Linked DNA regions of Arabidopsis thaliana. Each later gene encodes a partner of the first gene's protein in a complex. Each region holds a gene or a part of one and is shown in the gene's direction. Other genes may lie near its edges.

Region 1 (9,201 bases):
AACCTGAGATACCGAGGTCATAACCAAAGAGGAGACCTCCCATAGCGGCCACAATACATGTCATGATGACAAAGACGGTGACTCCGCCTTCATAGCTGTTTCCTCCACCACCACCTTCTGATACAAAGGCTCCTCCAGCCATTATTATTTATTCTTCACTTATTGATTGTTAGTATTATTGCCTTTTGCTTTGTTATTCAAACAAGAACTAGTGAGCTTATGATCCAAAACTGAAGAGCTTGTGAGCTCCTTAAATATAAGAATTTTCGTTATCTATTATTAGGAATCGATTGTGATATTAGCTGTTTTAGATTTATCTTAGCTTATGAATAGGTGAAGTGGTTTTGGTATTTTTTTCATGTTCTTCAAACCCAGTTTTAGTGGAGATCTTACTGTCTTTTTTTGACAGTTTCTTTTGTTTTTTTACTGACAACTTCCGCTCATTTCTCTGTAATTTTTATTACATAAAGACTCTAAGAGATATGTTGAAAAAGACAGTCTAACCCTAAAATAGGATCTTGTATTAATATAATAACAGTCGCATTTAGCTGTGAACTAATTGTGATTTCGTTCAGTACGTATATATAATATAGTCTATTTGGAGACATTTCATTTCTAGTTTAGTTTGGTTCATATATTTAGGATTGATTATTAGATACACGTCATTGTAGATCGTTGTTCCAGCTAATTTGAGAGAGAACGTTACAAAGATAATTGAAAATGAAGAAAAAAACAAAGTAAATATATCTACGTAGACAAAAATGTTCATTGTCATTATGAACACACCGTACGTTCTCTAATAGAATAGGTTTTAAGATATTTCTCATCTTTGTAACTCTGTAATATATATATGCAAATTGAAAAAGAAACAACAACAACAACAACGTTCCCATTTTTGAATCATGTCATTATGTCAATCTCGGTGTAATTAACAATGAGCTGGACGAAGAACACATAGCAAAACCTCCGAGAATGAAGATTGGATCAGTTCAACATCCTAAGCCTTGGTCATCAAATATATATCAGGCTCATGGACGACAGAAGTCCGAGTTTGTAACATGAGAAAAGATATTACAAATTAAGTTTATCACTACGTACGTACTTGATAAGTCTAAATGAAAAGTGATGGAACAAGAAATCTTTAGAATAAACATGTCAAGTGATCATGACATGATGCAACAGCCATGAACAATTATCAGCCACCCTTTCATTACGTAATTAACCATCACATTAAATCTCATGAAGACTTTCTTTATCTCGGCTGTCTCCTGATTAACCGAACCACGACTTCTTCTTCTCAAGAGCTCAAGTGGCTTTTTTGCTTATATTCACAAAATGAATTGATGGCTATTAAGCAAGAGTGAATGAGGATCAAACAGTGCACATTCAAACTTTGGGTCCAAAATCTTTAACGACCATATTCATCATTTAGCTAATTTTGTCTATAAATTGATTATAGCATTTAAAATCAAAATTTCTTTTATTTCCAAGACAAACAGTCATACATATATATGCCAGTTAGCTGTTGTTTTCACCTTTGAATCTTAGAATTTATTTTTTCACCAACGTTGGACATGCTCTTTATAAGAGTTTGGAGGGCTTTTAGTTATGGGGCAACTAAACCTTGCACGGAATTTTCCTTAATTAGTTCATGTTTAAATGTATCATAGTTAACTATGTCATGGTTAATCCACAAAAAAAAAAACATATTGTGTATGTCCAACTACTCATCCATCCTTTTAGGTTCATCCTTGAGAACCTTGCCATATATCTACTTCTTTTTGGGAAGTACGCTCGGTAGTGGAATGGATAGTTGCTTTTTTTTTTTTTTTAAATGGATAGTTGCTTCATCCTCAACTTTAGCCACAAAATCTAAAACTTGGATGGCAGTTTAATATTTTTGATCTGTTAAATCTCGGAGGCGCCAAACTTTTCGTTTGGGTGAAGAGATCCTTTGATAACTCCCAATACACATAATGATCTGATACCAAATTTGTTTTTATTAGTGTCATCTTATATAACATTTTTTATTTATGATAAGATGTGAATATATTACCAAAACGTAGTAAGAATTTTATTTTAATGAGATTTACTAATATAAAGTTTTTTTTGGGTTTTATTTAAATGGGTTAGGAGTGCAATTGAATCATTTTTTCAACTATTTCAACTTAAATAGTAAAAAATTGATTGAATGTTTATTCAACTCTTTTAATTTCTTCAATTACGTCAACCATTTGCACTGGTTTGTCAATTACAGCAATAAGATTTTTCTCTGAAAACTCATTACAAGAAAACTTGTTCTATTCTTTAGTGAGTTTTTAATCTACTAATTATATATATGAAAGTTAGCCAACTCTCTCCATATGATTGACACATCATCACTTTAACATTTGCCATGTATCCACTGAATAATTAATGTAAGCTCTTCAACTTTTAATTTATAGATTAATGATGTATTTATTATTTAATTTTACATATTTAATTGTACTAATACTAAATTTATTTTGTTATTAAATGTTTTTCAATAAAATAATTTGATTGATTTTCTCATACTCAAAAGATTTTTTTCTGTAATCTTAACTCAAATTATGAGTGTATAGTAGTCATGGATTAATTAATAGTTTGAATAGTTTGCATATTGTTATATATCTATATAATAAATCGCCGAGGGTGAAGAGTATGTAAGAAGTTTAATCATCAAATTCTTAGGTTTCGAGAATCCCAATATTACCTTCTATTTAATTAGTTTAAGACGAACATTGTTTAGGAATTGTGTGTATAATGCATTGTTGAGAATGTTGTTAGAAAAAATATATTTTAATATTAAGAATAATTACTTATTATATAAGTAAATGATTAGATAATTAAAAATTATATTTAAATTAAACGATACAAAAAATTTAAAAATACCGCAGCGTAGCGCGGGTGATTACCTAGTCATAGTAAAATTAGTAGTGACAGATTTTAAAAAATGACAAGCTTATGCTAGTAACTTTACAAAATAGATAGCATTATATAAATATTTTACTGTAGTATGAGTCAATACTTTTTTAATTATTAATTTAGTCAATATATGTTAGATGCAAATGTATTTTTTTTTATTGACCAATACTTTGGTAGTATAATATTAGTAGTATTAGATATTATTGGCTATAAATAGATTCAACATTGAAACACAAATCATATATATGAAAGAAGACTAACTCTCTCCCACAACTTGACACATAAGCACATGAGAGCTTGCCACCTAGACTTCATAAAATAAGTAATACATAATTAGTAATTAATTCAACATAACAACTAAAATAGGAGAATATAATTAATGAGAACTTGAACCATCACTCTTTCTACATTTTTAATTCAATATATCCTCTTTAATTTTGAGATCCACTTAAGTGGCTAAAGTGATGATAAAATCCAAACATGTTACACATATTCCTGGCCTAAAAATTAGACGATTATTATGAAAGAAACTAAATGAATATGCAGATTAAATATATCTAAGCTTTTCGATATTTATGCTAAGAAAACAGGTAATTTGAAAGATATTTGAGGAGCTATCCTTATAACTAATACGTAAGATATAAGATTATGACAAGAACTTAACTAAACTTTCTAAGAATATCGAGTTGAATATGCTTAGATTGAATATGCAAAGACATGATTAATAAAGACATGTTATATTTTTAGTGTAAGAAATAATTTTTCTAAAATTTCACTGTCTCACAATCTATACATATAACTAAAAAAGCAAGGATATATAAATTCAAAAAAAAACTAAGAATCTAAAACAACAATAAAAAACAACTCAAGCACATTCGTTTTTCAGATGAACTAATATAGTTGGACTTTTCAAAAACAATTACAAAACATATTTATGTTTCAAAACCTATGCATTCAACTTTACTTTATATAAACAGACATTATATAAAACAATTAGTAAATAGTAATACGTAAACCCGCACGTAGTGCGGGTACTCATCTAATTTGTAAATTAATAATTCCTCAATTTGCACCCAAAAAAAGAATTCCTTAACCACGAAAAAAATAAAAAAACAAAATTACAATTTAAGGGGGAAAGTTATATGAAATTGCAAATATAACCACCAAACAAACAATCGACTATCGAGGTTACCCTTAAGAAAATCTTTATTCGCAAGATCTCTCTCTCTCTCTCTCACTCGACGCACTTTAGAAAGAAACCCTAGTCCGACGACCTCTCCTTCGCCGCTGAATCCTCATCGCTGGTCAGATTTCTATCTATCTCGCTCTTCTATGTTTCCCTATCTCGTTGGTCAGATTTCGAATCTTCTTTTTGTTCTCATGGTTTTTGAGCTCAAAACTTTGGGGTTTCAATGTCTCGATGTTATTTCTTAGCGAGGTTTCAATGTTGGCTAAGTGAAGTTTTGGTATTGTCATTTACAGATTCTTGGCGGCTTTCTTTTTGATGAAATTGGATTACGATGGCTGGATATCCTACTAATGGATCAGTCTACGTTTCAAATCTCCCCTTAGGAACTGACGAGAATATGTTGGCTGACTATTTTGGGACCATTGGGTTGCTTAAGGTATGGTATTGGCCAGGTACTAATTGTTGCTTTTGTTTTGACGTCATTGCAATCTTTTATAGGTCACTAGATTTTCGAGTTTCTTACATTTTTTTCTACATTGCTTTTAGAGAGACAAACGAACTGGTACTCCTAAGGTATGGCTGTACCGGGATAAAGAAACTGATGAGCCCAAGGGAGATGCTACTGTTACCTATGAGGATCCGCATGCTGCTTTGGCTGCTGTTGAATGGTTCAATAACAAAGATTTTCATGGAAACACCATTGGAGTTTTTATGGCCGAGTCGAAGAATAAAAATGCTGGTGATGCAGTTGAGTTTGTTGAATTCGATGGAGGTGCTGAGGAAACAAATGGAGGTGCTGGAAGGGGGAGGGGTCAGGCTGATTCTTCGGCAAAGCCATGGCAGCAAGATGGTGACTGGATGTGCCCTAATACAAGGTCTGTGATGTGATATCGGTGAGGAGCTTCATCTAGCTCTTGTTTCCGTTAATTTGCTAGTTTTTATATATTTTATAGTTTCTAGCAGTAGTGTTCTCATACTCTTTCATTGGCAGTTGTACAAATGTGAATTTTGCATTCCGTGGGGTTTGTAACCGCTGTGGAACTGCTAGACCAGCTGGTGCATCTGGTGGCAGCATGGGTGCTGGTCGTGGAAGGGGTCGAGGTGGAGGCGCTGATGGTGGGGCCCCGGGGAAGCAGCCCAGTGGTGCTCCTACTGGTCTCTTTGGTCCAAATGATTGGGCTTGTCCAATGTAAGCATTCCGATTAGGTTTGAAATAGTTAGTTCAGTTTCAGAGGATAATGAGCGTTTGGTACTTGATTAAAACACATCGCAAGAAACAATTTATATTCAGTAGCAAAAGAGAACATTCAGATGGCATATAGCGTTGCTGGATATAAAATTAATTTGTCTTATGTATGGAAGGAATATAGCTTGTATATCAATGCTTTTGATGATGTCAGTTGACTCTTTACTTAGAAAGAAGTGATGGCCCGCTCTGCTGTGCTGTGTCTCTTAAACTGGTCCAAATTATGTGTGGAGGCACATATTTTTTCCTTCTTTTTTGAATGTTGATTCTAATTTCGTAATTTTCCTTCAGATGGCTGTTAATCTGAAAAATGTAATTTGAAACGTGGGTAGGTTGTAGTCTTGATCCTTCTAAGAAGTTATATTTGTGAAGATAGGCTGCCTTCAATTTTCTGTGTCTGATACAAAAAATGGACTATGTTTTAGTTTAATTGCAAGTTATGCTATGTGTCATCGAGTAGCTTAACTAAGAGGCTGCACTGTGTGAATGTGAGTTCTTATGCATAATGCACTTTTTCTTTTTGCGCTAATTCTTTCAGGTGTGGCAATGTCAACTGGGCGAAACGTCTAAAATGTAATATCTGCAACACCAATAAACCTGGTCAGAATGAAGGTGGTGTGAGGTATGACTCAAAGCCAGTGATAAGATTGCCTTTGTATTGTTATCTTGCAATGTTCGAGCTGAGGATTTGGATTATAAATGATTTTACAGTGAATGTAGGAGAGGTCGTAGATTTTCTGTTCGATGTTTGTAGTTTTGTTGTCAGCAGGGTATATTTATTCTGCTTTTAGACAGGGCCTAATAGATACCTGGGAAAAAGTCTCAATACTCTCTTCTGCAATTTGAACGAGTGCTTGTTTTCTTCGACAATTGATTTATCCCACTTGTAATGTTTTATTTTGGCCAAATTAGAGTTGCATTAAGAAACATTAAGGTTTGAGTTTGGAAGGTTGTTTTTATCTAGACCAGTGCTTATTCATTTTTTTTTCTCTAAATAGGGGAGGCCGTGGTGGTGGTTACAAGGAATTAGATGAACAAGAATTAGAGGAAACGAAGAGACGCAGGCGTGAGGCTGAAGAAGTAAGATATGCTTTTCCTGAAGAGTTCTTTGTTTTTTGTTTTTTTGTTGCAATTCGGATGAGCTCTCAGTTTTTTGTATATTCCATTTGACTTATACGTCTAATATATTTCAGGATGATGGTGAAATGTATGATGAGTTTGGGAATCTAAAGAAGAAGTACCGTGTTAAAACAAACCAAGCTGACACCAGACCTGCTGTTGCTGCTGGTCGTGCTGGGTGGGAAGTCGAGGAACTAGGTAAGTTCTGTTTAATTTTAACTAATATGAACTAAATCTATGCAATCATCAAATAGGTTGAGCTTATGAACAGAACCTTTCCACTATAATAGAGATTTATTTGGCTCGATCTATATCTACTCTCTGTGTATAGTCTTCAAAGAAAGTTTCTGCTTGTCATCTAGACACTTGAGTGAAACTTAACATATATGCGGGGAGGGATTTGTTTGAAATTTTACATTAAGCTTGCAGCTAACTTGCCTATAGCCCAAGCCTAGTGGGGATCTCCAATAAACAGTGTTGTTCCTTGTTAGAGTTTTCTTCTTTTCACTGAATAGATATAGAGGAAGATAGAAAAGAATGTTTATTGCTGCTTCCCCAAAAATAGAAAGGTCATGATCCAATGTAGTTGTTCATAATTTATATGAATGTGGCAGGTATTGATAAAGATGGAAGAGAGAGAAGCAGAGACAGGCAAAGAGACCGTGGTAGAGATCATCACTACGATAAGGATAGACGCAGAAGCAGAAGCCGAGAGAGGGAAAGAGGCAAGGAGCGTGACTATGACTATGACCATGATCGGGACAGAGACAGAGACTACGGTCGCGAACGTGGAAGCAGGTACCGTAACTGAGAGATTACTCATAAGTGTTAGGGTTTAGTTTCTCATCTGTTTTGTCGACTTACTTTTACAACGGTATCATTACAATGTCTTCGCCTTTTGTTTACTTATTGTGTGAAGTGAAACTCATTTTGGTTTGAATCAATGGCTATTGTTTTTCACTTGTTTTGGTCTGATTATGTTCTGAGAATACTCCATGTTTATCGTTTCGAAAATTGGTAATTATGGCAAAACATGGTTAGCGACGTCAATTGCTAATTTAGACGTGTATTAAGTATTATTTTGTCTTTTGTAGTATTATTTTTAGTTGTCCCTTTGTTTTTTTTTCCATCGCCAATCATTTCATCGCTGTATGATTTTAATGGGAATAAAAAAAATAGAACAAGAAGATTTTTGTGGACAATATAGTTTCTGAAACTATAATAGGATAAGAAAAAATTAAGCTTATTTGTGGGGATATATATTAATGTCATATCATTGTCATAAACATGGTCGGCAAAACTTGGGACGGCAGTTTACCAGAATAATCCGGTCGACAGAATTCAACAGTTCCTCTCTCTAAAAGATATGAAGGAGATTAATTTTGGCTTTGTTAGCAAAGATGGCCGGTCCTCTTCTGGCAAATCCGGCTTTTACAAGCGGTTTTGGCCGGCTTTTATCCTTCCTCCGCCGTTCGATCGGTTGTTCTTACCGATTGCTTTAGTTTCTTTTTCAGTTTTTCTTTCAATAATTTCTAAAGATTTCAATTGGAGATTAATTTTAGGTCATAATAGCCTAAGATTAAGTTTTCGGATTTGTATCTTTAGAAAGTTTGATTTGCAGAATTACCTCAAGTATGAAAGGAAGTTTTGTTTCCAGCATATTGGGATTGCCTGTAGCCGTTTCTACATGTTTATGGAGCTTCGATCGATCAAATTTGAGGAATACTCAGATTTTTCTTTCCTCATTACCTGTTTTTGCCAAATCTCTTGATTGATGATTTTGGAATTGAATTCTCTGTTTGTGTATCCTCCCTTCTCTGTTTAGCAGTTTCCGGTGAGAAAAAAACAAAAATCGATGTTTGCCCTTTTTCGACGTTGATTGTGTTCACCGGATCGGAGTCTTTGACGGCACAGGATGACAGGAACGTTTCATCGCTTCTCTTGCAACACGTGTCTTGTTATACGATCGTGTTTTGTTAAAGAGATATCCTTCCTTTAAAGAAATGTAACTAAGTGGACCTTTGTTGGGCTGTATTCTGTGGATCATTAATAAACATAATCTTTCCAGTGAAAAAAAAAAAAAAAAACATGGTCGGATATGGGAAATACGATGAAAAAAGCTCGTCATGGACTCGCACTTAAAACAGGAAAATCTTTTTCGTCTAGACCCCACTTATTCACATGCACTACGACATAATTCCAAATTCTTTTAAAAAAAAAGAAGAAGTTAATAGAAAGAGTGACCAAAGTACAGTATATGATGATATTTATAACATACAGTTAAACTTCTATAAATTAATAGTCGATAAATTAATAACCTTTATAAATTAATAAATTTTTCCAATCCCGAATTTGTACCAGTGTAAAAAGTGACACAAATCGATAAATTAATAAGATAATAACTTTTTTGAAAGTTCTATGTAAATATATGGTCCCATCAATATCATAAATTAATAATTGTATAAATATATCAATTATATATATACATTATATGTAGGAATTTTTCTGAAATATAATTCTAATATTTTTTTGCTTAAATTTGTATTTATTTTTATTTAAAATTTAGTTCTCGTATTTTACTGTATCAAAAACTTTTGGTGTTGTTTTCTAAACATGATATTATTGTTTAGTTGTAATTGATTCTTGAAAGATATTTTCTATAATGAAAAAAATCCTATAATTTTTTTTGAAAAGTTACTAAATT
Region 2 (6,545 bases), about 12 Mb from region 1:
TTATCATCAGAGAGGAGTGATCGGTACATCAATCGGCCACAAAAGGCCTCAGACGACCGTCGTGAGAATTTTAGATCAAATCTCATCACTTGAATTTAACTTCTTCACATCAAAAAATCGATTACTTTAGCAAAGTAAAACAATATCAAAGATGAAAGCTACAAAAACACGAAGAAAAAAGAGACGAATATAGCCGGCGATTATGGGTACTGAAGACTAGTTTGCCTTTTTATATAGGATGATGGAGCAAATCTAGGGTTTAGTTTGACAATTAAAGCATACGACACCGTTTATTTTTAAATGGGCTCGTCTATTTATCTACATGTCTGGCCCATGTATGACTTTACTAGATCTAGTTCTGAAATTGAAAGTTATAAATTTTTGTATAGATTACTTTCTTCTTCCTTATTTTTAACACACAATTTATTATATGAAAACAATTTAACTACATTAATGAAAAAAATACAATTTTTTCAATAATACAATTTTGCATAACGTGCTCCCATATCTCTACTCTACAACTGGGAAAAAATATATTATAAAGCTTGTTTTTGTATAGACATATTCATGTGTATACAACATGTCAACAACATACATTGGCAATATATGCACATGCATGCTCCAAGTTGCTAATTAAACACTGAATCTGAAATCTGAAATTATGCCAATCTAAAAACCTTTCGGCGGTAAATTTTGAGTGAATAAGACAATGTAAAATGACTAAGATAAAAAAGTGTTAGGTGGGGTGAAAAAAAACAGAGAATAAAAACCTCGCAAGCGAGGGAAGTGATGAATAACAGAGACAATTGGTTATATTAGCTGTCACTCCCATCTTTCATATTCCTTCACCATCTCTCTCTCTCTCGATCTTGTGAACCACTACACACACTAACACAATGAGAGAGATCCTTCACATTCAAGGTGGTCAATGCGGTAACCAGATTGGTTCCAAGTTCTGGGAAGTCATCTGCGACGAGCACGGCATCGATTCCACCGGACGTTACAGTGGAGACACTGCAGATCTCCAGCTTGAACGTATCAATGTCTATTACAATGAAGCTTCAGGTGGAAGATACGTTCCTCGTGCTGTTCTTATGGATCTTGAGCCTGGTACTATGGATAGTATCAGATCCGGACCGTTTGGTCAGATCTTCCGTCCTGATAACTTTGTCTTTGGTCAGTCTGGTGCTGGTAATAATTGGGCTAAAGGTCATTACACTGAAGGTGCTGAACTTATTGATGCTGTTCTTGATGTTGTTCGTAAAGAAGCTGAGAACTGCGATTGCCTTCAAGGTACTATATATATCTTTTTCTGAATTTTCCATTATACGCAAATTTTCTATAGTGTTTGATGTCGTGCATCATAATTCGTATATTTACTGGATTTAGTTTGATTCAATAATCATTTCATTCGTAATTTGTCTGACGTCACCGTATCGATAATCGTTTATCACCATAGATCTCTTCTTGTAATATAGTATGATATCTATCTACATAATTAGTAAAATTAGGTCACGGTTTAGTAAGTGTACTATAGTATGTTTTTTTTATTCTTTTTTTTTTTACTTTGATGATCTTGTTTATCTATTATTGGTGTGCATCAGTGCATGTGGGTTCTTATTCAGTAATACGATCAATCAAATCGTCTTATTTAATGTAATTGCAAGACAGCAACGAAATAATTGAAATGCAAGTGCTGTTTTCTGTGGAGTGGGATGTTAGCACTTATTATTGGTAGGGCCAAGCTGTTTTGTATAGTATTGAGATATTTTTTTGTCAAGTTTTTTTCTTCATATTAAAGCTTCAGAGATAAGATATTATATCATTGTGATGTCGTGATCAAAACATTTTCAAGGCACCGTGATTACGGGATAAAAGATGGAGTGGTCCTACTACATCATATAGATTTCTTGGAATTTTGTAGTAAAAAGTTAATAAAAATCTCTTTTGCCTTTAGAGTTTATAGATAATGCTTGTGGAGCCCAAACAACAATCTCACGTGATTCGTTTTTTTAGTTACTTTTGGTCAGGTCTCACGTGATTCGTTTTATACATTGATTATTTAACTTCAATTATAACTATGAGTCTATGACTACTAGTGTGCATTGTTATTATTGGGGAGAAATATTTTTTAACGCATATTGTAGATTCATTGATTATTGTTTTAAAGCATTGTAGATTCACATAAACATTATAGTTGATTTAGTTAGCAAGGACTAGTAACAAGATGTTTGCTTGACTATATATGAACACTTTTTCGTCTCATCGATGGAACCAATACTATGTGAATCATGGGGCTGCATTATTTTACAGGGTTTCAGGTGTGCCATTCGTTGGGAGGAGGCACAGGTTCAGGAATGGGAACACTATTGATATCGAAGATCCGAGAGGAGTATCCAGACAGAATGATGCTCACTTTCTCTGTTTTCCCATCTCCTAAAGTCTCTGACACAGTCGTTGAGCCTTACAATGCAACTCTCTCTGTCCATCAGCTTGTAGAGAACGCTGATGAATGCATGGTCCTCGACAATGAAGCTCTCTACGATATCTGCTTCCGTACCCTCAAACTCAGCACTCCTAGCTGTAAGTACACCCAATTCTTATCCTCCATTAACCCAAAATGTATTTAAAACTAATTCTGATACATTGCATGATGATGTAGTTGGAGACTTGAACCATTTGATCTCCGCAACAATGAGCGGTGTGACTTGCTCCTTAAGGTTCCCCGGACAACTAAACTCTGACCTCAGGAAACTCGCGGTGAACCTAATCCCATTCCCTCGTCTCCATTTCTTCATGGTGGGTTTTGCGCCCCTCACTTCCCGTGGCTCGCAACAATACATCTCACTCACCGTTCCTGAGCTGACTCAACAAATGTGGGACTCCAAAAACATGATGTGTGCAGCTGATCCACGTCACGGACGTTACCTCACAGCCTCTGCTATTTTCAGAGGACAGATGAGCACAAAAGAAGTCGACGAGCAAATCCTAAACATACAGAACAAGAACTCGTCTTACTTCGTTGAGTGGATCCCAAACAACGTGAAATCCAGCGTTTGTGATATCCCACCAAAGGGGCTCAAAATGGCGGCGACGTTTGTGGGTAACTCGACGTCGATTCAAGAAATGTTCAGGAGAGTGAGTGAGCAGTTCACGGCTATGTTTAGGCGTAAAGCGTTTCTGCATTGGTACACAGGAGAAGGAATGGACGAAATGGAGTTTACGGAAGCTGAGAGCAATATGAATGATTTGGTCGCTGAATACCAACAGTACCAAGATGCTACTGCTGATGAGGAAGGTGAGTATGATGTTGAAGAAGAAGAGGAGGGAGATTATGAGACTTGATCCACCAAATCAAACATTTTACTTAAAAGACAAGGAAACGACTCTTGGAAATCTCTCTATTTAAATTTGATTGAAAAACATTGAAAAAATGGGAAATTTGTTTAAATGTGTTTTTTGTTTGAGTAATTTGTTCAAAGAAAGTTTGAAGTTTCCATTTATTTTGGGTGTCTTGTATTTTCCATTTGAGATAATACGTCCTTGCTTCTCAAGCTACTGTGTAGTATATAAATTTTACACTTCTCTCAATTGTCCCACATCGAGTAAATTAGTATAAAGGAAGCTAAACTTTTGCCTCTATAAATAAAGATACTTCATTTCCCACCGACTTTTACATTTGGGCTTCTTAAAAAATAGGCTTGACAATAAATGGCCTTTAACGCAAGGTCTTGTTGTTTTGCTAGTAGCAACGAGCGGGTTACTTGTAACTGCAATTGTCTGAAAGATCAGCCAGTGCCAAGGTACTTGTAATTACAAGTACAAAAAATTGATTTCTTTGAGTTCATGTTCATGTCGGATTTTTTCTAGTGTGGTCGGATGTGCAACAAAAAAATTGGCTGAATTTTGGAGTTTTAAGATCCAAAGATATGTGATTTTCGTTAAGGTTTTATTAAGAATGAAGCATTCGAAGGATCCGTTTGAAGCAGCAATGGAGGAGCAAGAGGAATCACCTGTTGAAACCGAGCAGACTCTTGAAGGAGATGAGAGAGCTGTGAAGAAATGTAAAACGTCCGTTGTTGCTGAAGCGAAGAACAAAGATGAAGTTGAGTTCACCAAAAACATAACTGGTGCTGATCCTGTGACTAGAGCCAACAAGATGCAGAAGATTTTATCACAATTTACAGAGGAACAAATGAGCAGATATGAATCTTTCAGAAGATCTGGTTTTAAGAAATCAGACATGGAGAAGTTGGTACAGAGAATCACAGGGGGTCCGAAGATGGACGACACTATGAACATCGTTGTGCGTGGTATCGCAAAGATGTTTGTTGGCGACCTTGTGGAAACAGCTCGAGTTGTTATGAGGGAAAGGAAGGAATCAGGACCTATTAGACCTTGCCATATCAGAGAGTCATATCGAAGACTAAAGCTCCAAGGAAAAGTGCCTCAAAGATCAGTTCAACGGCTTTTTCGCTAGTCAGAATGACGAGGTTACAAAGTAGTGACATGGACGAAGAGTAACTATCATGCTCTAAACCAAACGTGATTAAGTCTTTGCTTAATAACTAAAGAAGTACACGATAAGATCAGAAACAATTGGCCATCTCTCTCATTACTCTTAAAGAATTCACCTTTCAAGCATTCTACAAATTGACTCCCTAAGAAACGATTACAAATAACACAATGAGATTTCAGTCTTTTAATTCAACCTACTTGGCTCTAGCCTTTTTAGAGACTCTGCTAGCCAAAAAATCATCATCTGAGTCGTCATCATCAGAGTTCTTCTTCCTCTTCTTCGTGGTTGGTTTCGAATCATTTCCCTTCTTTTTGTTTGACAAAGCTTCAGATGGCGACTTTTGTACTTCCTTCTTCTTCACGGTCACTGATTTGGAGTTGCTTCTTGGAGTAGAAGCAGCAGATTTTACTGGAGAACTTAATTTTCCACCCTTTTGCAGTTTCTTCTCAAGAACTTTCTTTGCTTTTTCGGCTGGAAGCAATCCAGACTCCATCAACCTGTGATCAAAACCACAAAAGGGTTTTCAAATAAACAAAGCAATCTAAAAGCAAATATTACACATAACCATCACAGATCATATAATCAATGCTTTGAGTGACTGGTTTGAAAGGACTCCCCTTTCTTACATACAATGTGAGTCCAATTATGATGTTCAAAATTTATGCGAACTAGCTTAAACCGTGTCGCAAAACACAAGAGACCATCGAAAATCAAACGCAAGTATGCATCAAGTCCCAAAAGAATAATTTAAGGTGTAGGACTCAGTTTGCAGATTGAGTGATCAAACACAAATAATCAGATACATACCAAACACAAAACATTAAGTGTAAGTGTTTTAAAGTTGCAGAACAATGTAAGGCAGAGAAAGGAATAGAAGAGCTTACCAAATCTGAGCCATGTCGCTAGTGGGAATTTGTTTGTAAAGTGACTCGTAGAAAATCCTAAGTGGATCTCTCTGCAGAATTGCAAAATCAACAAAAGAAATTCTTCAGACGAATTCAACAACAAATCTAAAAAGCAGAGAAACAGAGCAGCAAAAAAATACCTCATCAGGCTGCTCTCTCTTCTGACCAGGCAAATCATATACTTTTCTTTCTCTCTTTTTCTTTACTTCTTCTTCTTTCTCTGGTTTCTTATTCTCCTATAAACAAAGAGAGAGACTCATAATCAAAACAATGCCTCATCAAATATTTTACCATCCTCAATATTTATACTCAAACAGAGAGAGAAAGAAATAAAAATCGAACCTTTGAGACACCAACAGAAGAATTCCTCTTAGAAACAGGCTTCTTCTCATCGTCTTTATCAATCTCTTCCTTCTTCTTCACTGGCTTAGCTCGAGACCCAGATACAGATGACTTGATAGGTTTGTTATCATCATCATCGTCATCGTTCTCTTCTTTCTTCAATTTCTTCGAACCAGCATTGTTACCGTTCGTGGGTTTCTTCTTCGCAAAGGAACTCAAGCTCTTATTGTCTTCCTCAGCCTCCTCTTTCATCTTCATAGCTTTCACATCCTCCGAAGGTGGCATCTTCTTCTACCAAATCAAAAAAAGTCGAAACCTTTGATGAAATTTTTGTGAGAGATTTGAGAAGAGAAACCGCTGTGTTCCTCCGTCAATTGTGCCCTAATCCAAAAATAAGAGGAGGCTTGGAGACGGCGTCGTTTAAACCCAAAAGCAAAATCATTCCACTGAACCGGACCGAAATTTAGCGGTTTAAAGAAGAAACCGGTTAAATACGAAACGTTTCTGCAATAAGCCATACTTGTTGTATACAGAATCGAAGTTGGATTTGAATTGGTGCGAAGCAGAAAGCTCACTTTCACACTCAGTGATTCGACATACAACACCAATACCAAGAAGCAAATGATCTTATTCAAAATATCAAATCCATACAAGAGGGAATTCTCAGCTATAAACAAAATAAAACCGGAAAAAAAATCTTCTTCAAAGCCGCTTGAAATCTTTGTTGCATTGGCAGATGTTCCGCCATTGCTGTTTTCTTCTTTGGTTAAGCTTCAAGA
Region 3 (8,261 bases), on another chromosome or scaffold:
TTGTTTGTAGAGAAAATTAGGAATCTAGCATTTTAAAAAATTCAATTTGTTCAAATAACAGATACTATAGAAAAATCGTTGATGTTTTGTCTATTTGCTCAAGAATTTCGGCGTGGAAGCTTTGGAACATTGGCGTAATAGTTTTGAAAAATATGTAACGTTTACTTGTCAAATAAATTTTTGTCATGTTTTAATTCATAAACTTCGGTCGAAAACAAAATAGAATCATAAAACAAAGCAAGAAAATGAGTATCATGGGACTGGATCCACAAGACCGGGACATGTTTGATTTTTATGGTAATTATTTTTAGGCAATCAGAAAAATTGTGTTTTTAAAAAAGCAAGATAGAGAGATATTTTTAAAAAGATATTGTTATTTAAAAACATAAATCAAAATCAAAATTGGGAATTTCTTGTCAGTGAGAGAATAATAGTTTTATATATAAATAAAAAAAATACAGGTCCCATCTCATATGAGTATAGCAAGTTTCACAATCTTCATCATTAAAGAACTCGTGCATCGTTTAGAAGAAAAAAAGTTTTTACCTCTTTTTTAATTCTAAAACAGTATCAAAGTTTTTTACAAGAAAAAGAAAACAATAAAAAACAACAAGGGATAAGAAGGCCGCATTGTCCATTGGCAATCATTCCACTAATCACTATTAACATGAGAAAATAATATTTGTATAGTTTTGTTGTGTGATTGTGTCCCACGTTTCGTCAGCTTCCACTTCGCACCTTTTAGCAGTAGAGGGTACGTTTTCTTTCTGCACGGACAATCACCGCTCGTCGTTTTGTACTATTCGTCCCTACTCCTCTCATACATATAAATGGAAACGTTCAAAAATCTGAATGGCTTAAACAAATTAAGTTCAAAAATTGTTAGACGCTACCTAAACATCAAATATCCTATTGAATATGTATTCTTAGTACTAGTGAAAATCGTGTAAGTGAAGTGTGGGCAAGAGAAAGATGAACTTGTTAGTTGGAAATTAATCGATAGATGTTAGACCGTACCGTGGTGATCGAGGTTACAGACCATGAACCTATGATTTCTCATATCAAACTTACGAGTTCATTACTTCAAAGTACATTTAGTGATGGCTAATTAAAGGGCATTTAGAAAACTAATACGATTTTTTGAAACATGTAACTTTGGTATTATTTAAGCAATATCCATTACGCTCGTTGTTTGCTTTACTAAAGGGCAAGTTTCGTATGAGGCAAGGCCACTTGGATATGAAATACTCCACAAACTTTATTCTACGCATATCAAAATTTTAATTATAAATATAGCATGCCAATCTTTTTCCTAAAACAAATCTCCAATATTTAATTGCAATTTCGGTGGATAATCGGATTCCACTTTTGTACTTGAACGGCCAGTTCTTTCTTACTAGTAACTTTCATTCATGTTTTTTAATGGTTAAATACATTTCAACTATAACAGAAATTGTTGGCAAGAGGCGACCAATCACCAACGAAAGCTCGTGTAGATTACATCCACATAAATAATTATTACATGTATTGCTGTTTATATTCCAACTTTATCATAAGTAATCTAGTTAATTGAAGATTAGCGACAAAAATATGATATTAAATTGGATGGGAGAAAACATATATTTAATTAAGCAAACGAACATATTCGCAACTTGAGTTTTTGGGGGGTGTTTGGTGACGTACAAACTTCTCTTCTTCTAGATAAGGAACTATGCACTACAAATTTTCTTAATTATGCACCACAAATTTTCTAAAGTACGATTAAAAAAGAGGAAATCTAAAGCCAAAGTAGTAATCAACCCTACAACAACACATGAGTCACGACTTTCAGTTAACTACAATTATACAAATATTACTTGATTAAGTGGTGTTATCTTAACTAGTGTAATGTATGTTTGAAATTAATAAAGTCCATCTACAAACCATTTTATCAAAACAAAAAATCCATCAAGCAAATTGAAGCCACTCTTATAGCCGACTAACCGTACCTACAAATTTTCTGTTTCAAACTTATGCATATCTATATGGGTGCTTATGATACTTCCTATTAAATTTAATAAAATTAGTAAAAATTTCCCTACCATATATCATATTATTATTTTTTCGATCCAAGAAAGTTACTTTTTAAAATAGTTTTCTATTTTGTGACACTTCTAAAATATTATAAGTGTATAGCCATTTTTCCCCAAACAAGGAATAGTCTATCAGTCTATACAGTATACACACGATTTATTTGCAAAGAACCTACATACACAATTTCTCTTCTACCATGTTAGATTTTTAGTACTTGTTTTACTAGATTATGTATTTTTGTTTGTCTATCGGTCTTTTAATTTTCACTTGCTGGAGGTAAATAATGAAGGAAGTAGTTAAAAATTGAGATAACATAGTTGTGTAGAAATTAGAATACAGTGCAGAACTTAAAAGTATGGTTACGATCACATTGACAACAGTCGATATTCCATTGAGATCACATGAACATTGCTTCGTTAGAAATGCTCGTCGATCGCCTGAAGTAAACCGATTTGATTGGCCACCATGTTTTGCCTCTTCCTGATTTCATTGATATATTTTATTTTTCTTTACTATTTTAAACAACAAAAAAATTTAGAATCCGTATTCCAAAAGTAAATTAAATTTTTGCATACAATTTTTCTTTTTCTTTAAAATATCTAGGTTTTAATATAATATTCCATAATTTGATGAAAAGAATTAAAGAGAAAGTTCAAATCAATCCATATAGCTTGTCCTAGCCTATAGCCAAAAATATTCCTATGCCGCGATTGAACAACCGTTTTTTAAAAATCGTCAAATTAAATCAAACCTTTTTCCATGACAATGAGACTTGGATATAGTTTACATTAGATTCTGATTGGCCCCTTTGATATAACTAGGTAAACTAGCTTCTTGAATAAACTGTCTCTTATTTTGGTTTTATACAAAAAAAAAAAAGCTTTTGGAAAATGATTTAAATGTAAATACATAATACGTAGCGTCTAAGAAGCATATTTGAGAAAATATGGATTTATTTATCTGGTATTTATCCATTAATTTACCTACAAATGGAATCCACCATTAACCAAAAACAAACAAACAAATGGAATCCCGTGAAATAAAGTATCATCATATACATATCTCTCTTTTATGTTTTTATGGAGAGAATTAGTCCAATCCTTCTTCACTGAATTTACCACCTGCTTCTCGTAGAATATATAAAACTACCCTTAAGTCTTTTTCTAATGACTATGAGTTGACAAATGAGAAAAACAAAAACTGCTTTTGTTGGTCATTAAATATTCCGTCTAGATGGAGTTAGTGCTTTCATTGTCATATTCTTTGTCTCCCATCAAATTAAAGCTCACTATACAGCAGATTGTACAACACTATACACTAAAGTTACATTTTTGAGATTTTATTGATTGACAATTTCGTTTCGATATTCTTAGATACACTAAACTCAAATATTGATTTTATGGGAAGAGAATAAAAAATGGATTGTGAAAAAGGAAAAAAAAAAACCTAAATTTGGGCCATATGTGAAGAATACTTCCTTAAGTTTGGGCCATAGTTTAAATCAATAGGCCCATTAGTCTATCTAACGATTCTTTCTCAACTCTTAAAAATCTGACCGGCGGAGATGGCTCTGAGTTGGACCAGTCGGAGGATTAGGGTTTCAACGGAGACTCACTAGTCGATCTCCGATCCTTTCTTCTACCCGCCCGAAATCCGTCGAAACTTCTCTTCTTTACCATTGATTTGCCTCGTCTCAGCTCAATTCTCTTCCGTTGCTGCTTCGTTTAGGTTCGCATTATCGCTTACTTTATTGAATTTTTCCTCTATGTCTCTGGTTTCAATTTCAGCTCAATTTTGTCTTTTTTTCGGTTGAATTTTCTCTTGGGTGGTATCGAATTTTGCTCATGAATGCTGTTTCTTGATGAATCAGAGCCCTCTTAGTTTACTTCACGTCGTTCAATTCAAAACTTGGTGTGGTCTTTTGCAACACAAATCAGGAATAGTTCGTTACTTAGAAACAATAATGTCATACGAGAAGACAAATCTGGAACAGAGAATTAGTAAATTGAGCTGGAAAGTTTCAGTAGTCAAAATTCTCGTAAAACTTATTTTGGTATAATTGTGTCATGAGTCATGACATTCTTTCTTAGGTTTCGTACAAGTTTCTAATTTGAGGTAGATACTAGTTCAGAGGTTCTTTATTAATGTTTGATTTTGAAAACCTTTCTTTACTTACAGTTGTTGCTTCGCTTCAGTACTCTGGTGGTGGGAGAGATGAATCACGGCCAACAATCTGGTGAGGCAAAGCATGAAGATGATGCTGCTCTTACAGAGTTCCTTGCTTCTCTGATGGATTATACTCCTACTGTATACTTTCCTTTGTACTAGTTACAACTTTTTCTCGGCTCTACATGACTGAAATTTGGGTATTGATTGAGTTCTGGATTTTTATTTTTCTTTCAGATTCCTGATGATTTAGTGGAGCACTACTTGGCTAAGAGTGGATTTCAGTGCCCCGACGTACGATTGTAGGTATTTCCGACAAGTTATATCTGATACTTACAATGAAAGAGCAGATAAGTTGATATTGAATGGAATCATTGTTGGGTCTTAGAATGGGTGACCAGTAGTTAGATCAATGGCTTGGTTTAAATCATTTTGGATTAAGGTTTTGCCCTGTTTAACATTCCTGTAAAATGGTATGATAAAGAAGTCTATGTTGGACTAGCACTGAAAAAGATTGGCAATTTGAATGTAAACTTCAGAGTTCAGTTTGAATGCGTAGAATAATGAGGGGATTCTTCTCTTTCTATCAAATTGAGTGCTGAATATTGGTATATTTTAGTTTTTGAGTTTTTCACTCCTGTCATAATCTTTTCCTGTATCTATTCTTGCCAATATTCTGTTTTTTTGTTTACTTGTTTGACAGGATAAGGCTAGTTGCTGTGGCTACACAAAAGTTTGTTGCAGATGTTGCCAGTGACGCCCTTCAGTAAGTTTTCATTCTCTTCACAACGAATTATCATACCCTTTTTCATATTTGACTTGTAATTGAGAAAGAGAAGACACTGCCCATTCTGAGTAGATGAGATGAAAAGATGTCTACGCTAGATTTTCCCAGAAGCTAAAAGCATTGATATAAGCTCCTGAATAATAAAAATTGTCAATTATATACAGGCATTGCAAGGCTAGACCAGCACCAGTTGTGAAAGACAAAAAACAGCAAAAGGTAACATCTGACTCCCTTTTGTTTTTTTTCCCTCTGCAAGACTGCAACAAATATGTTTTGGATGATGACATGAATATTAATGTTTCCTTAACAGGATAAGCGTTTGGTATTGACAATGGAAGATCTTTCAAAAGCTTTGCGTGAGGTAAATGCTTCTTCCTCTAAGTTCATGCTTCTGGTATTGTTGTCCCTCAGACCTCCAATGTATGAGAAGAAAATGTAGATGTCTCTTGTTTTTTTTTACTTAAGCTGCAAATTACTCTAAATACACATGGCATGAAACTAATTCAGTATCACAGAATCAACATAAAATGCTTAGAAACATGTTTTAGAGTTAGTGGTTATAATATTGTGTATTGCAGTAGTGTAGGTAGATAGGTAAGGTTTTACAGTCTCGTCTTAACTAGTAGTGGGAAGCTAACTCGTGAGTAAACTCGGTTTGGCAGTATGGTGTGAACGTGAAGCATCCAGAATATTTTGCTGATAGCCCTTCGACTGGAATGGACCCTGCAACAAGGGACGAATAGAAACCAGGAATTCCTCAAAATCTTTGCCTAGTAAGGACGGTCATGTGTCTCAGATCCCTGATTCTCTGTTGTGTTTCAGTTAAAAACAAAACTCACTTGTCTTGCTAGTCCTCAATTACTACATTACATGTATATTCGTTTGTTGTTTGTTCTCTGGTGATTTTTGGGGTTCTACATCACTTATCCACCATTCTTGCAAGTCTCCAAGTCGTGAAAATAAGATAAGTATCCATCCTTGTGATTAACTGGATACTGTAGGATTGAAAAACCACAAAGTATATTTTCCATCTAGCAATGATGAACCTAAGTGCTTCTGATCTAACTTGAAACATTGCCACACTCTGTTGTATACCTTTAGACAATCCCCCTTTGTAACCGCGGCATCTCAATAATAAAGTTACTTTTTGGAATTTAGCAATTGAAAAAAGCTGTTCTGTTTTGTTTTTTCACTTTCTCATGTCCGAATATTCTTTACCTAGAAATACATGAAAGAAGACAACAATCTGAAAAATCTAGTAACCTTTCGTCAGCTTTTACAACGCTACATTGAAGACAAGAACACATTGGTTTTTTCATCACAAAGAAAGTTGAAGATTCTTGAGTTTTTTTCCTCCTGAATTGTTTGAAATGGTGAATCCTCCACTTCAGTCTCCGACCAATCCGCATTTCTTCCAGCCACTACTTCCCGGTTTCGAGTGTCACCTCGTACACACTCTCTCTGTCTCTCTCTGTTTCTGTCTTTCTTTCAGAGTCGGTTTTGTTTTAAATGTTTTGAGGCTGAAAAGTTAAGGTAAGTTTCAAGTTTTTTATATGACATAGGTACTTGTGGTTTCTGAGCACATTCTCCTTATATGTATACAGGACCATAAACGTTGTCTGGAATGATTCTATATGCCGACTTTTTGTCTGTAATATGTAAAGTCTCTGTCCAATTTCTTCTCGCATGACTTAGCTAAAATATCTTGGTTTTACAGGAGAAAGAGTTTCTATACTAATACAAAATGGTTGAAGAAGCATGCAAAGTTGGTGGATTTTAAGACTTCTGAGTTCCATTAATTTGATACTATTGACGACAATCTTCAAAGTCGGTTTTGGCTCGCCGGGAAAAGATGCACATATGGTCAAGTCTCGTTGTAACTTGGAAAAGGTTAGGAGTTAGTAAGTGTGTGTTTAAAGGATTGCACTAGAATCAGTGAGCTGTGATGATACAAAGGTAACTTTGGCTACATGAAGAAGATAAAGAAAAAAGTTCAAAGATTTTTAGCCGTTAATGGGATCAATGTCCTCTTCCCTGGGTTGTATTAACACCTGAGGACATGTTGATCTCACACGGCTAATGTATGATTCACCATCACTTTCCATGAACTTTAACCACATCTCCTTCATTCGTTTGCCACGGTAGAATTCGTCATTCAAAATAATCCGATTCTGAATCAAGAAACAGATCACAAACTTCAACAAGGCAAGGGTACAGACAGTGGCTGCAGCAACAAATAGAAGCAAGAAACTATCGAGGCTGAGCTTTCGGAAGGAGACTGTTGGGTTTGGGTCAGGGTTGTTCATTGGATCAGGACAAGTTTTGTCTATGTTCTTGAACCACGCAGTTTCAAGTTGAGTTGCTTTGTTAGACTCTGCCACTTTCAAAATGGCCCTTGATACATCGGCTACTAGAGGCGATCCAATTGGGAAGACCTACAGAATCGAAACTAGTTATATGCATCATTAAAAGGAAGGATTGTATGCAAGCCAAAGAGAAGTGATGGAACTTACAAAGCCAAACCCGTCAACATCAAATGGCACCTCCACCATTTTATATTTCTTGCAATATTGTCCAAGAAAAACTCTCACGTATGGTACTTCCATGAAGGCTGCAGAAACACCACCCTTTGATGGTCCCTTGTTCAGAAGTTCTTCACATTTCTCTGGAGAGGTAAATGGCACGAGTCTGGACTCAGGGAAGCCCGATTCTCTCAGTTTCCCCAGTACGAATGAATCTCTCTGATATGCCACAGGTCCTCCTTTTGCAAGCACGTTCTTGATGCTCGTTTCAGTTGGATTGAGCTGTTGTGTTGTGAGAAGCGATGACAAACTGGCAGTATAACTCTGAGTCAGCACAAGAACAATGAAGTACCAAGTGATAACCACAACCCTTGCTGTAAAGCTCATTACTCTTTCTCCTGTAAAAACATAACTTTTGAGAGTAAACTTATGGAAACAGACTCGTTGCCTACAGAGAGTACTAGAGGGAAAGCGAACATACTGGGTGCAAAAACCATGATGGAGAAGGCAAACCAGAACATAGTGCTGATCTGGTACTGGGGAGGTCCAGTGAATTCAGAGTTCACCCTATGTTCAAGAATCCACACAACAAAACCAACAACAAAAAAAGAACCAAGGGTCATCCCCCAAAGCCCCGGTGTCAAAGGTTTAAAAAAGATCAAACTGCTTCTTGCCACGTTATCTTTTAGAGGGACAACCATCCCCACGCCCGA

Evidence for each region.
Region 2: TAF15 (region 1) and TAF11b share a complex: the UniProt entries of both Arabidopsis thaliana proteins name them as parts of the TFIID complex.
Region 3: TAF15 (region 1) and TAFII15 share a complex: the UniProt entries of both Arabidopsis thaliana proteins name them as parts of the TFIID complex.

Annotation. Positions count from the first base shown.
Region 1 is NC_003070.9:18,626,925-18,636,125, reverse strand, and holds TAF15 (TBP-associated factor 15), read left to right. Parts: upstream 1-4,086; 5' UTR 4,087-4,247; intron 4,248-4,425; 5' UTR 4,426-4,463; coding exon 4,464-4,568; exon of another isoform or gene 4,569-4,584; intron 4,585-4,678; coding exon 4,679-5,007; intron 5,008-5,123; coding exon 5,124-5,321; intron 5,322-5,916; coding exon 5,917-6,000; intron 6,001-6,376; coding exon 6,377-6,458; intron 6,459-6,571; coding exon 6,572-6,695; intron 6,696-7,111; coding exon 7,112-7,308; 3' UTR 7,309-7,571; downstream 7,572-9,201. Other genes in the region: STP9 (sugar transporter 9), read right to left, coding at 4-142; AT1G50290 (uncharacterized protein), read left to right, coding at 7,864-8,268. UniProt on the Arabidopsis thaliana protein: TAFs are components of the transcription factor IID (TFIID) complex that is essential for mediating regulation of RNA polymerase transcription.
Region 2 is NC_003070.9:6,934,833-6,941,377, reverse strand, and holds TAF11b (TBP-associated factor 11B), read left to right. Parts: upstream 1-3,711; coding exon 3,712-3,803; intron 3,804-3,957; coding exon 3,958-4,480; downstream 4,481-6,545. Other genes in the region: TUB5 (tubulin beta-5 chain), read left to right, coding at 897-1,293, 2,314-2,583, 2,663-3,345; AT1G19990 (nucleolin), read right to left, coding at 4,713-5,016, 5,404-5,474, 5,565-5,660, 5,767-6,051. UniProt on the Arabidopsis thaliana protein: TAFs are components of the transcription factor IID (TFIID) complex that is essential for mediating regulation of RNA polymerase transcription.
Region 3 is NC_003075.7:15,351,731-15,359,991, reverse strand, and holds TAFII15 (TBP-associated factor II 15), read left to right. Parts: upstream 1-3,560; 5' UTR 3,561-3,801; intron 3,802-3,821; exon of another isoform or gene 3,822-4,188; intron 4,189-4,251; exon of another isoform or gene 4,252-4,268; 5' UTR 4,269-4,287; coding exon 4,288-4,380; intron 4,381-4,476; coding exon 4,477-4,541; intron 4,542-4,942; coding exon 4,943-5,005; intron 5,006-5,190; coding exon 5,191-5,242; intron 5,243-5,336; coding exon 5,337-5,387; intron 5,388-5,688; coding exon 5,689-5,769; 3' UTR 5,770-5,945; coding exon of another isoform or gene 5,946-6,021; 3' UTR 6,022-6,072; coding exon of another isoform or gene 6,073-6,153; 3' UTR 6,154-6,196; downstream 6,197-8,261. Other genes in the region: AT4G31715 (uncharacterized protein), read right to left, coding at 5,946-6,021, 6,073-6,153, 6,290-6,333; GLR2.4 (glutamate receptor 2.4), read right to left, coding at 7,030-7,461, 7,540-7,946, 8,030-8,261. UniProt on the Arabidopsis thaliana protein: TAFs are components of the transcription factor IID (TFIID) complex that is essential for mediating regulation of RNA polymerase transcription.